Linked DNA regions of Drosophila melanogaster. The protein of the gene in region 3 interacts with the protein of the main gene of each other region in a pairwise test. Each region holds a gene or a part of one and is shown on either strand. Other genes may lie near its edges.

Region 1 (3,245 bases), on a different chromosome or scaffold from region 3:
GGCTAGCTCCAAAGGTAATCTGCGACAGCTGTGGCGATCCCAGTGTAGAGTTTCCAAGACGGGTGCTATCTCTTAGTGCCGCAACGGGAGCTCTGTTTTCCTTTTGCTTTTCAGCGGCCTGTTTGGATGTGCTCGGTCCATCGTACGCGTTAAACTCGTCCGGCAAGTCCTCCAGCAGCTCTAGTTCGTCTTGGTATTGCAGCTCGAACTCCTCGTTTTCGTCCGGATACTGATCCATACTGGTTTCAAACGAGCGTCCAACAAACAACTTAATAAAATCCTATTATATATAAACAAATTGTTACACTGGTATTTTCGCGCCAAAATGGCAAACATTAACAGCTGTTCGATGGCAGAGTTGCCAACTATCGTTATCAAAGTGATGGCTGTCACAAGCTGATTGATTTAGTAAGCTTAAATTATTTGATTTATTTTATTTATAAATGCATTGAATGTAAATAAAAATACTTATATAACTAGTTTCAATAATTGGTTTTGATATTAAAATTGGTGCAGGCACTTGGTAACTATGGCACATTTTCCAAACAACTGTTTTGTATTGACTTGTTTACCTTTCTCGTTTCTTCTTCTTCCACTTTGTTTACTGATAAAGAAAGTCCGCCAAAATGGAAGTGAATACGAAAATGAGTATTCTTTGCATTCCTTATTTCAAAATCAAAGTCATTATCTATAATCAGTAAGCGAGAGCACATTTCCCGTTCCCTTTTAATTACAGCTAGCAAAATGACAGAAGAAAATGACGATTCATCTGTAGGGCTGTTGCATTCTTTGTTTATATTATATATATATATAAATGCATGTGTTGATTTGAGCATATATTGAACCTCTATAATAGATATATATGTTGAAGGTGGCTTGCATTCGTCACTATGCAAAGCTTTTCACAACTTTGGTGGACGAAATGGACTTATGACACCGCGGACACTTGATGCAGGTTTCCGGATCTAGAAGTCCTTTGATCTTGTGCAGACACGGATGTATCTGCGTTCTCACGTGTTCCTTTGCTGCGATTGGCTCGGCAATATCCAACCGCTGGTGGAGTATCTGAAATAAAGCAAGTAAAATGTCCAGCATGTGTTCTTCGATTCCTACTCACATTGTAGGCCTCCTTCCATAAACTTGATTTGTAGCTCTGTTTTCTGGGCTCACTGTATTCATAAACACGAATGCCATTTTTTACTCGAACAGCATGCGGATACGGCGGAATGCTGCGCGAAAGTTTCCTAGTTATAATTTTGCCTTCAGCAGAAGCGTAAGCTGAATCCAAAATATTTCGTACACTTAATTTGGAATCCGGCATGTGCGAAACGTGTTTTTCGTCGTCGTATAAATATTCGTATGGTAGATCAGAACTATGAAAAACTACCTTGTCCCCCTCCATGGTGTGTTCGATAAAAAAAATTTGAATTGAAGACGTCTTATCACGAAGAGCTTCTGCGCTCGACTGATGTCTACTGAATACTGCAAGCTTCTGGAATGTAGGCAGATCTGAACACTATGACTCATTTTTACTAAGCTGCATTCGCGCGGGAGGGACATTAAATAAAGTCAAAGTTAATTTTATAATCCTAAGCTACCGGTTTTATTAAATTAAATCTGAAAGAATCTCTTGAGCTAGGTAAACAACCAACAAACTTTTTATTAAGTAGTAACTGAAAGTTCAGAAACTTTGCCTAAATTGCTGAGATACTTTTCGAAAACTGTGAGATACTCTGTTGCGGAAGACGGTCACCCTAAAAATCAGCTGTTCGCGTTGCCAACCTGTGAGAATGCGCTCAAATATCAAATATAAAACTTGTATTTTAAGTGCGTGTAAGTAAGTAGTATGTAGTATATATCTAAAAAGGCATCTACTATTTTTAAGTGCTTTAGGCATTTAGCATTGTGAAAATATTTACTTCATCAAAAACCTATCGATATCTTGACATTCAAATACTTTTCACATCCCTCGCTAGAATCGGTCAGTGGATATATAGATAACAAAATAATGCAACTCACAGTTTCAAGGGGATCGGAAGCCCCTGCGGCGCTGAAATCGTTCAGATAATATAAAGTTATATCCACATTATAGAGTTAAGCCCCCCCGCCACGAAAAGAGAAAAACATCATGTGTTGTTAGCTGAAATCCGTGAGCAAAAACCAAAAACAGCTGCTATGATCAAAAAATCGGGCGACTCCTCAATTTGCACACGTTTGTTATAGTTTCGTGTACGCGTAGGAAAATCACAGAAAATCTAGGAAAATCAAAGAGAGAGAAAGTGGAGGAGAGCGAGAAATCGAATCCAAACAAAGCGATTTCGGCTTATTCTTCTATTTCAGCACACAACAACGCAAAGTAAGTGATACAAGTTATTTATTTACGTCATCCACTGATAAGGGAAACCAAAAACAATTGCGGACTGCAAGTGAAATTAATGTTGTGTTAATATCTTCGAATTACTTGCGCTCGATACAATAAACAACTTGTGACCGCAGCTGAAAATAATTGAAGTACAGTGCGTATACGCTAACGAGCACAGTAGTACTCGAAAAAAAGAGAGAGTTGGCATAAATTACTTGTGCGCATGCAATACAATACAATTATACTGAGTTTCAACAATTAGTTTAGTTCTTTGCTGCTAACTACTATTATTCAAAGTGTATATAGCTAAGGATTATATATAGATATTAATTATTATCCATCCCCACAGAATGCACAACTGGCTGGCCTCACATAACGGCGATGAGGATGCGATGGCTGCGCCATCATCCTGTCCTGCGTCCTCGGAAAACGGCAGTCGATTGGAGTCCCGCCGGATCTTTGGCGACATTACCACCAACAGACTGTGGACCTTTCGGGTGCTGATGAACCAGGATCTGGCGCCCAACGAGCAGTTGGCCATAGTGGGTAATTGCGAGGCGCTGGGCAACTGGCAGCACTCGGGAGCGGCTATTTTGTCCAAAAATGAGGAGGACAATGAGTATAGTAATCTGTGGACAGGAGAGATCTATATTCCGCGTCACTGTGACACGGAATATCGCTATATGGTCTGTGCCGTCGATCCCGGCACGGAGCAGCTGATTGTCCGCCGTTGGGAAACGCAATTACAGGTTCACAAATTCATTATGTACTGACCGACCCTATACGAGTAGAGTCCAAAAATCCAGCTGGACCTGGGATCGGATTTGATTTGTATGCACTCGTATGGGATTCATGGTTTGGAGCTAGCCCAATAACATTGCTA
Region 2 (4,722 bases), on a different chromosome or scaffold from region 3:
TCAACTGCCTAAGCTTAATATGCATTTACAGATAAAATAGCTCCTTTCGCTTCCAATGGGAAAACATAGATAAATGCAAACAATCAAATATAAAAAAGTGTCAAATGCAGTAAATGATGACAAATAAAAGGCGTAATTCTAAAAAGAAACCTTCCATAAAAATAAGCTCACAACTATTAAATTACTTTGTCAAATTCGAACGCCCAATTCCCAACGAAATCCATTTAATTCTGTAGAAATCTCCCATGAAACTATGTTCCGTTCCTTAATTCCGGTAAAATCGTTAAACAATTACGAGCTAATTTATGAGATAAGAATCGAGCAAACAATAGCGCCTTTGATAGCAGCAACGAAAGCAAACAAACTTTGATCTTCAATTACGAATATCCCTCGGTGACGTGCGTTGCGCTCCCAAAAAAAACAAATTCGGAAAAAGATGGAAATTATGTAGACATACATGGGTGGTACACAAATTAGGAAGGTGAGAAAATCTGTTCGACTCTTGGCTCTTGTCAAGAGGGCATAGGTACAAAAAAAAATAAATAAATAAATAAATAACACCCACGCGATCCGCACCCTTTTGGCCTAACCTTGGCTGGCAATCAAACAAAGAGGCAAACATTTATTGTTGGGCTTGCGGAACGCGCCCAACTACCTGCACACAAAAGCGGGAACCCGCAGAACGGATCCCGCCAAATGGGCTTTACCTGGCACGGCTGCAGATAAGGCAGATACACGGGTTGGGATCCGTGGCGGGGTGGGTGGTGGTAGATGATACGCGGCGATATGCGCCCATTGTTTCCAAGCAGCTAAACTGTCGTCTTATTACAGAGCAGATACAGATACAGATGCAGATACAGATGCAGATACAGATATATATGCAGATACAGATACAGATACAGATGCAGATACAGATACATATGCAGATATAGATACTAAAGATACTGCGGTTAAATGGATACGTTAACGATATGACAATCGGAGCTAGCCTAAAGCCACTTTCGTCTATCTAGGATGATACACCAGAAGCAGACTCAGGCTTTGCACTCAATTGGCTGACAAAACGAATAAGGTGACTTTAATTCAATTCACAGCGGAGATCAGGGCGAGGTTGGTGTAAAGAATCAACCTGAATAGTTAAACACAGATGTTGGTTGTCTCGGGAATTTGCAATTTCTATAATTAAACGCAGACTCCTCCGGACGAAATAACAGCTTCGTAGAGGTGAATCCAAAACAGATTGTCAATAAAAACAATAAATTAAGTGTATTGAACCCAGCCCACTGTGACCCACTGTGCTCCACCCCCCTAACACCCCCCCTCCCGGTACGCTATTGTACATCCTTCACTACGGTGAAAGATGAGCCCCTACCGGTCAAGTGGATCGAAAACCATGTCATAGCGGAAATGAAAACCTAAGAAGTCGGGCCAATTTGTTCAATTGAAAGTAGATGGTTGTAGGTACTTTAAAATGTTCCACATCTTTAATAGAAATATTCAATTACTTTTCCATGCATATTTTGTTTAGATCGCTCAACAATCACTTCTTCTCCATGCTGATCTCATTTTTGTTACCATCTCCCCACAATCCAATTAGCGGACTGGTCAAGTGGTTCGGGCGTTTGATTGAAATGCCTGCGTCTTGGCTATAGTTTTACTGTTTTGCCAGTAATCTTATCGCTCGGCCAAACTTGGCAACTGGCGAAAAGCGTTAAACAAGAACCGACAACCGACCAAGAAGTAAAACCGATATGAAGGAGCATGGAATTGAATCACCGGAGACAACTGGCGCCTCTCGCGTAATCGGAGATTGGGGACCTCGACATTTTGTGCTTGAATGTTTGGATCTTTTGCTGGGCTGGCTGGCTAGGAAATATCGGCCTGGAACACCCATCCATATCGATTATGACATGTTATCAGAGAGCGGAGGCGCAACAAGAGATTTGTTTTTCTTTTTTGATTCGCCTAAACAACTGTGGCGTGTTTGCCGATAAGCCAGCCCATTAGCATTTGATGTTGGGATAGTACAATTAAGGCGATGTCTGGATTTCGAATGTATGTTTGTACATACATACAAATACAAATTGGTGAATAAAAAACGTTTAACTCTTGTTGTCAGCTGGCATTCCAGCGAGGTCTAACTATCGAAAAACCGTAGCAAGATATTAGAAACTCATAATTTTCGAGAAACGAAGGGGTATATATCTTTATGGGGCACCTATAAAATTGATACAATAACAGAATGTTGGGCACTAATCAAACATTCATGAGTACTCAGAGTGTAAGTACAAGATTTGAACGAACTTTTCTTATGCAAATATCTTAAGGATACTTTCTATTGTATTTCATACTACATCTCGTAACACATTCTTACCGAAATTACTTTTGTAATGATGCTGATAGGCTTGGAAATTTGTGTTGTTATTGCCGCCATTGTTGCTATTATTGTGATGGGCATAGTGATGGCCACTATTGTTGCCATTGTTGTTGTTGTTGGTGTGGCCACCCCCATTATTATTATTATTACTATTATTGTTGTTATTATGGCTCAGATTATGCATTTTAGATGGAATCCGATAACCGGACTCATAATGTTTATACTGATTGTAGGTGAATCGCATTTTGATTGATTTTCACTGGACTCTTTAAATAACTTTAATTAACTCTTATGGCTATTTGTGGTGCAATTAATTTATTTTCGATTAGTGATTGTTCTTTCCACTCTTTCTACTCTCTCCTCGAGTTTCTCGTTCTCTTTTTGGGATAAGTGCTTTTAGTATATTTTATAATTATGTTTACAGGCATCGATTTTGTTGTCTTCCCTCTGACTTGTATTGTTTTTGTTGATTTGGTAAATATTGTTGGCACATTTAATTGTTTCTTTGTGTTTTAAATTAATATTTGTAATTTTGGATTGACTTTGTACATTTGTTTTGTGTGTTGTTGCTTTGTTTGTTGGTAAATTTGCTCTGCAGTTGCTTTAATTGTTTGTATCTACCAGCTATTTAAATAAAAAAAGAAATACAACTTAGTATAATGCATGAGACGCGTGAAAATCGACAGAAAAACGCCCAAACGTAACGTTTTTAAGCATTTTGCAACGCTTAGAAAACGCTCGTAAAACGCACTCGAAACGCTTCGAAAACAGGTTGAAAAATTCGTTGTTTCGTTTTGTTTTGTTTCGGCACTTCGCTTATTTATTTATTCATATGGCCGTTTGGTTTTTTTTTTTTTCTTTTTTGGATTTTTGTTTTGTTTTTGTATTTCGTTTTTACAGCTCGATGCGAAAAACCGAATCCGACTGAGCGATGTAAAAATGTTGCTTTTATACTTTTATACACACATCATCTTTAATAGCCGGCGCGGTTCAAAGTCCAAGCGACAAGAGCAGGCAGAAAATAAGAAGATCGCATTGGTTTAATGATCATTTTGTTGCATATTGATAATGATTATGATAATCGGGGGAGAAGTTGCATTGGGCGGGGGACCTTAAGTGCATTCTTTTTCCCTTTCCCCAAACTGGTTTCGTTGTCCAAGGCGCCTTGAAAAAGTTGAACTCGTTTCTGTTTTCCATTTTTCATCTTTTTTTTTTTTTTGATCCTTCAATAGCTTCCTGGTATCTGTCTTATTATTATTTTGTTTTTGCTACATGATCTTCGTACCCGTTTACAGTTAGAGTTCGGAATCGGAAAACGAGTTCCACACGATCTCGAGATTCTTCCCTGTTCTACTTGTTTGGATGCCCTTTTACTTTTCGGAGAGGAATGTAAAGCCCTTTTCAGTGGCAAGTTCCACAAGGTCTCAAAGAACTACACATTACACGCTTCAATACCATAATGATTTAGGCACTCAGAACTACAATTTATGCTGAGAATAATAAAATTACAGAAATCTTCAACTATGAATGCCGTGATAAGAACTAGTCTCAAAAGTATTGAATACCATTTTACATATTCTATACCGTAATTTACCGACTTTAACAACCGCTTTTCGCTCAGTGCATTTCAGATTTTTTTTTTTTGTACACGAATTTAACGACTAATCGAGGTGACACAGATAAGTGTGTTAGCACCGACGACCCCGCCCCTTCTTCTGTAAGCCCCACCACACCACCGCCTCCTTTGGGCATTGCCTTCAATGGCCTGTGGTTTCGGCATGGATTGGTCTGTACTCTGGTATTATTTTTTTTCGTTTTTTGACAATCAAATGCCAAGGCAAGTTCTTGGCTTGATTAAATGCTCATTGAAATTGTACGGTGTATTTATCAGCAATCGGTTTTTTTTTTTTAATATATATATGTGTGTATGTGCTGTGTCGTGTGTAATGTGTGTAGCGACTATGTAGCCGTTGGTTTTGTGAAAAATCATGATCTTGTTTCATTGACCCACATTGAACGTGTAATAAACGAGCCTCGAAGTGAGCAGAACAAACTAAGCTGATCTTATCTGATCTGCGCGCAGCTCAGATTATTATTCGCTTTTAATTTACGATCAGGAAGCGTTGGGAAATCTGTGAGGATGCTCAGAAATTTCACGGATTAAGGAAACTAGTCTGGAAATTCGAGTTGCCATTGTTTTCCGACAGCAACCAGCTAAATCCCTTCAAAAATCTTCTCGCTGACTTTAATTTAAACATCTTAAATCTTACACAAAAAAAAATCTCTTTGGAAATATGCATTAAAATAAACTATTCAGCGAAATGCATTAAAAAAAGTCCCACGAA
Region 3 (5,383 bases):
CCCAAATCGTGATGGCGACTGGAAATTTGATAGTACGTTGAGTTTAACTTTAGAATCTGCACTTGAAATCTCAACATGAGGGCAGGGAATCCGAGGGCAAATATATTGAGAATCAAGCACACGTACCGAAAGTAACTTAAAGATTTTACTGTGTTTCCAAAACCAGCCTTCATTCTGTGCAAAAGATAAAAGCTCCTTCCCACATCAACAAATAGGGTTGCCATGCTCATGAAAATCCCAAATGCCAAATAGAATGTAAGCCAGAAGAAATATCGGTGATTATTGTGTCCGATGCAAGTGGCTGCGAAGATGCAGTGGTGGTCTCGCTTCAAAATGCAGCATTTACACAGTGCACAGTGCCAGGATCGTGGAGGCATCAGTTTCTGACAGATATCGCAATAATGCCACAGGTGCTCCGTTCCCGGTTTCGGAATTTGCCGCTCCTGAGGCAGACTTTTCACTGCTGAGCTTGTACGGTAGCAGGCCAGCAAGTTTCCCAGGATATTGTATGTTGTAAAAATCGCTGATATCACAAAGAACTTATACATAAAACCATCATGCACATCGGGGGCCACATAAAAGACCTGCAGCGTGAAGAAAAAAACCGTGCTCACCAGTAAAAAAATCACTGACAAAGGATGTCCTATGCTCACGGCCTTCTTAGGATAGAGATTGGCATATTCGCGGCACCAATCATTTACGATACACATGATTGTAGGATTTTGAATACAACACCGTATTTTCCACAACTTGACATTAGATGAAAATAAGTTATGATTGGCTTGTTAAAATCGATATATATTTTTCAATAATTTAGTAATACGTCTATTAATTTAGTGAGACTGCTTCATCTGCCAATGTGCACCGTCATGGGGCAAAGGACTCTTCAGCAAGGGCGATATAAAAGTCCAAAGTCCTCGTTGGCCCATTATTGTCTGGCAGTTCTTTCGGAAACCCAGATCGTAGGTGCAATCAAAAATATTATAGTAGGTAGAGTTTTGGCTTAAAATCTGCATTTGATATGCCAACATAAAGGCAGGCATATAGCTGGCGCTTATATTCAAGAGGAAGGCAATGGTCTCAAAAGTATTGCCAGTATAATTTTGGAAAAAAGTCCTAGTTATTAAATTAAAAATCACAGACGAGAGACTCATGAAGTTACCGCCATTCTGCAGGATAAACATACAAAATGTTGCAAAGCTTGTGACTAAGCCGAGCGTTAAATAAAATGTGAACCAGAAGAAAAAGCGTTGATTATTGTGTCCAATGCAAGTGCCCGTGAATATACAGTGGTGGTCCCGTCTCAAAATGCAGGTGTTGCACAAAACGCAGTGCCAGGATCGTGGCGATCTCAGCTTTTTACACGATTCGCAATAGTGCCACAGGGGCTCATCCTCTGGATTCGGGCATCGGGAGTCCTTGGACAAGGTGTTTACCGATGAGCTAGTCATATAGCAGGCCAGCATGTTACCAAGTATGTTGTGCGTTATGAAGGTGACCAATATCCAGTAGAGCTTGTAAGCAATGTCGCCAAACACTTTGGGCGCAATGTAAAACATCTGCAGTGAGAAGAAGAAAGCTGTGCTGCACAGGACGAAAACTATCGAAAGTGGATGCACTATCCTCACAAAGTTCTTCGGGTAGCGATTGGCAAAGTAATGGCAAAATCTATTCACGTAGCACATTTTTTAGGATTTTGAAAACTTCTGTTGTAAATTATAGACTAAATAGAAACATTTACATCACAGAAGAAGAAACGCCAACCCGACATATTATAATAGAATTTATTCGCTATCTTATATTCAAAGTTTTTACAAACAAAATTTACACTGTCTGCTTCTGGAACCACTGAGTGCCATCGGTAGGAAGAGGACTTGAGATCGTTGGAGAGAAAAAAATCCAGAAGCGCCGTTTTCCCAAGACCATATCAAAATTTCTTCTCCAACCAACATCATAGCTGCGATCGAGCATCTTATAGCATGTACTATTCCGATATACCATTATCATTTGAAAGACGAACATGAAGAGGGGGACGCCAAAAAGAAATAAATTCAGTTTGAAAAGGTTGGCGATTGTGTACTTCCATTTGAAATCAGCATCTTGGGTTGTATCCTGGAACATTAGCAACAAAGGATCGACGACCAAAAAGGCCTTGTTTGTCCAATTCAAAATGCCATTGTAGACGAGCGCCTGTCCGCTGCCAAAGCTCAGGTGAAACAAGAAGGCAAGGAAATACCTCTGATTTTTATGGCCAATGCAACTGGCAAAGAAGGTGCAGTGGTGATCCCGCTTCAGAATGCAAATGTTGCACAAACTACAGTGCCAGGACCTCGGTGGCACCAGCTTTTGGCATGTGGAGCAGTAGTGCCACAGGTGAGCCTCACCTGCCACAGGATACTGTCTTTCCAGAACTAAGCTATCGACTGAGGTATTGGTCATACAGCCGAGCCACCAGTTGCCCAATATATTGATGACTGTATAAATTCCCATAAACCAACACAATTTGTGCCATATACCATGGGGATCAGTTATTTGCGGCAAAACGTAGCATAATTCATAGACAAACAGCAATCCAATCAGACAGAGTAAAAATATTGCACAAAACGGATGAAGTAGGCCCATAACTTTTATGCGATGTAGTTGAAAGTGACGATGAAACCCTTCCTCGGCTCGAAAACACATTCTTCTACTCCAACCGCAAGTAGATCTTAATAAAACTCGAAATCGAAGCATTTATAAATGACAGACGTATTGTTAAATTTATCAAATAAATTATTTTTAATAGACTTTGGGCACCAGAACTGCCTTGATTTGGAAATATGTATCTAACTGACATAATCGCATCACCCACTGAATTGTAAAAATCTGGCATTGTATGTATGTGTACTTTGGTGGGTGGTTTCAAATTCAATTTCTTTTCCTTTTTAAGCGGATTATTGCGAAATTACGTTTTATAATTGCTGGCGTCATTTGTGAAGGCAGAAAATTTTTATTTAAGTGGCGCTTCTAAGTGAATTCTACAATTCAAAAGATTTGGCTTATGGAATGTTTTCACCTAAAAGTTTCTCAAATTTTTACTTCATTTTCAAAGCAGTATAGGCAAAACCTTGCTTATAAAGCAAGCTTATAAGCAGAAAATAAATTGAAATAAAAAAAACAATGGAGGGAAAAAGGGCATCAGCATGGCAAAATATGGTATTTTGCAGCAGCTGTATGTTGTATAAACAAAGAGCAGAATAAAAACAACGAGGAATGCATATCAAATACATGTAGGAAACAGCTGGGTTAAGTCGACTTCATCAGCCCAGCGACCGCAAAATGGCAGCTGTCGGCCAGGTTTAGACCGCAGGAACGAATGTTGTCTATTTCGCATAAATTTTTATGAATTATTAATATGAACTAAGCATTTTGAATGTGGCCTGGTCGGGTGGGAAAGCTGGTGAGGACGCGGTTTTTCATTTTAAGTTCACTGAGGTGTATGGCACACCTATTGAGGTGGTTTTTCTTTTTGCCGTAAAGTAGAGTGGCAGTTTGCTTTTCGTTTGCATAAAATATGTACGATGGGGCGGGGCGGGACTTTCCTCACTTCGTGGCTAAATGTGTTTGCCGTCTTTGGCCTAGACCGGAAGCAAACAAACAGCCATTTTGTGCTGCTATTCGACGCAGCCATTTCCGGCAGCCACTCGGCGCCGTCGATGTGTTTGTCAGTCAACCTGTGGCTTGACTTTCCCCCACTTTCGCTTAGCTCTTTCTTTGACTTTCTGTGGGCACTACGAGTCATTAGCATTTGCTTGGTGTAGGTGGAGGGGCATACAAAAAATGAGAATGGCTTGCGGAGTTGGCAACTGCTTTTGGCCAAGTTCTCGCATAATTGCCGAGTTTTGCTGCTAATTTAAGATGCTTTGCCCCCATGGCAGTCAGCTCGCATTCGGTGTCTTTGTTTGATTTCATTACGAGCGGAGACTCTCAACTACAGACAGCTGTGCCGCAAAGTTTTTCGCAGTTAGGAGTTTGCACATTTTGTCTCCCCTCGTTTTTATTTCCCTGGGAAGGTCGGGAGTATTACTGTGTAATTTGCAAGCAATTACCTGGTAGGGGCAACCCACATAACTTTCCCCCATTAGCCCATATCTGCCAGATCTCACGGCGCGACTTCTTGGAATGTAATTGAGTTTGGAAAATGTGTAAAATTAGATATGTGCGTGTCTCAAGCCAGGAAAGCACCTGCGTGAAAAGCCAGATGAAAGTGTGTCTATCCACATATAATCGACGGGGAAATACCGCGTGGTATGAACAATGTTGAGTATATTTTTTATGACGTTGCAATTAAAATATTGTTTAGCTAAAAAAAATGACTATGATTGTACTGAATAATATACTAGTGCTCCCATTCACTTTATACTCAGAGGAATTAACTTACAGAGGATTCAAAATTTTAGCAGGAACACAAAATCTGAGCAATTTCGAATGTCACAAGCTTATAGAATTGCCTTCTTAGTACTCCATTTAATGTTTTGCCATTTCAGGATAAGTAATGATTGTAAGTACTGGCGCACGTGTGCCAGGTATGCCATTAATATTATTCTACGTTGAGAATATTCTTTTTTTAGGTTAAGATCCCTTTCAGTCTCAACCATACTCAGCAATTACTGTGCAGGCCAGGTTGCACACTTTAATTTATTTTGCTATTTATCTAAGCTTGCGGCAAAACATTAAATTAACATATGTGCCCCTGGCAAATGGGATGCTTTCTGCCCAAAAACCTTTATGCTGCTCTGAAGATATTGCATCAGAATGCTCGGTTGGCACCTGGTCTCGATTTATTGTGCTCGATTGCTCCGAGCCAATGCAGCAAGCAAAATTGTAATGAACCATCAAACGGCAATTGAAGCTGTTCAATGCTCGGCGGCAACGTTGCGTATGAGTGATTTCGCAAAAGCGAGCCAGCTGTTCTGCTCGTTCGCAGTGGATGCTTTTCTACGAGAACTCCATTTTGTTGAGTTGCCTCGGTGCCAAAATATGTGTGCCTGTATGGCATGTAAAATATTTGGCACTTGCCACACAAAATGGCTTGTCATTTGGGCGAAATGAGTTGGAAGTTTCACGTAAACGAAACGAAAATTTTACTTTTTTTCATTTCGCCTTTGCAAAATATGTTTTATTTATTATTATTTTTTTTTTTTTTTTTTTTTGGGTTACTTCGTTTTTGTAGCCGGTCGCGACATATTTTTCGCTGCTCATGTTGTTGTTTCATTTTCGTTTTCATAAATTTTTCATTTTGCATGTCAATGTTTTGCGCCTTCGACATGTGTTTGCAATTTGCATGAGGTGAGTTTGGGTTTGGTGGCAGCATAGCGTGCTTGTGTGCAAAAATTGGAACGAA

What was found. The genes of interacting proteins can lie anywhere in the genome.
Region 1: the proteins of CG4956 (region 3) and CG31955 interact in a two-hybrid assay, tested with the Drosophila melanogaster proteins (one large-scale study listed by BioGRID).
Region 2: the proteins of CG4956 (region 3) and NFAT interact in a two-hybrid assay, tested with the Drosophila melanogaster proteins (one large-scale study listed by BioGRID).

Annotation. Positions count from the first base shown.
Region 1 is NT_033779.5:3,711,381-3,714,625, forward strand, and holds CG31955 (uncharacterized protein), read right to left. Parts: upstream 1,487-3,245; 5' UTR 1,403-1,486; coding exon 1,118-1,402; intron 1,066-1,117; coding exon 889-1,065; 3' UTR 846-888; exon of another isoform or gene 774-845; intron 689-773; 3' UTR 501-688; downstream 1-500. Other genes in the region: cutlet, read right to left, coding at 1-238; CG2818 (uncharacterized protein), read left to right, coding at 2,713-3,111.
Region 2 is NC_004354.4:13,643,457-13,648,178, reverse strand, and holds the start of NFAT (NFAT nuclear factor), read right to left. Parts: upstream 3,001-4,722; 5' UTR 2,622-3,000; coding exon 2,375-2,621; intron 1-2,374.
Region 3 is NT_033777.3:25,775,497-25,780,879, forward strand, and holds CG4956 (uncharacterized protein), read right to left. Parts: upstream 2,810-5,383; 5' UTR 2,734-2,809; coding exon 1,825-2,733; 3' UTR 1,772-1,824; downstream 1-1,771. Other genes in the region: CG17196 (uncharacterized protein), read right to left, coding at 1-710; CG17195 (uncharacterized protein), read right to left, coding at 834-1,685.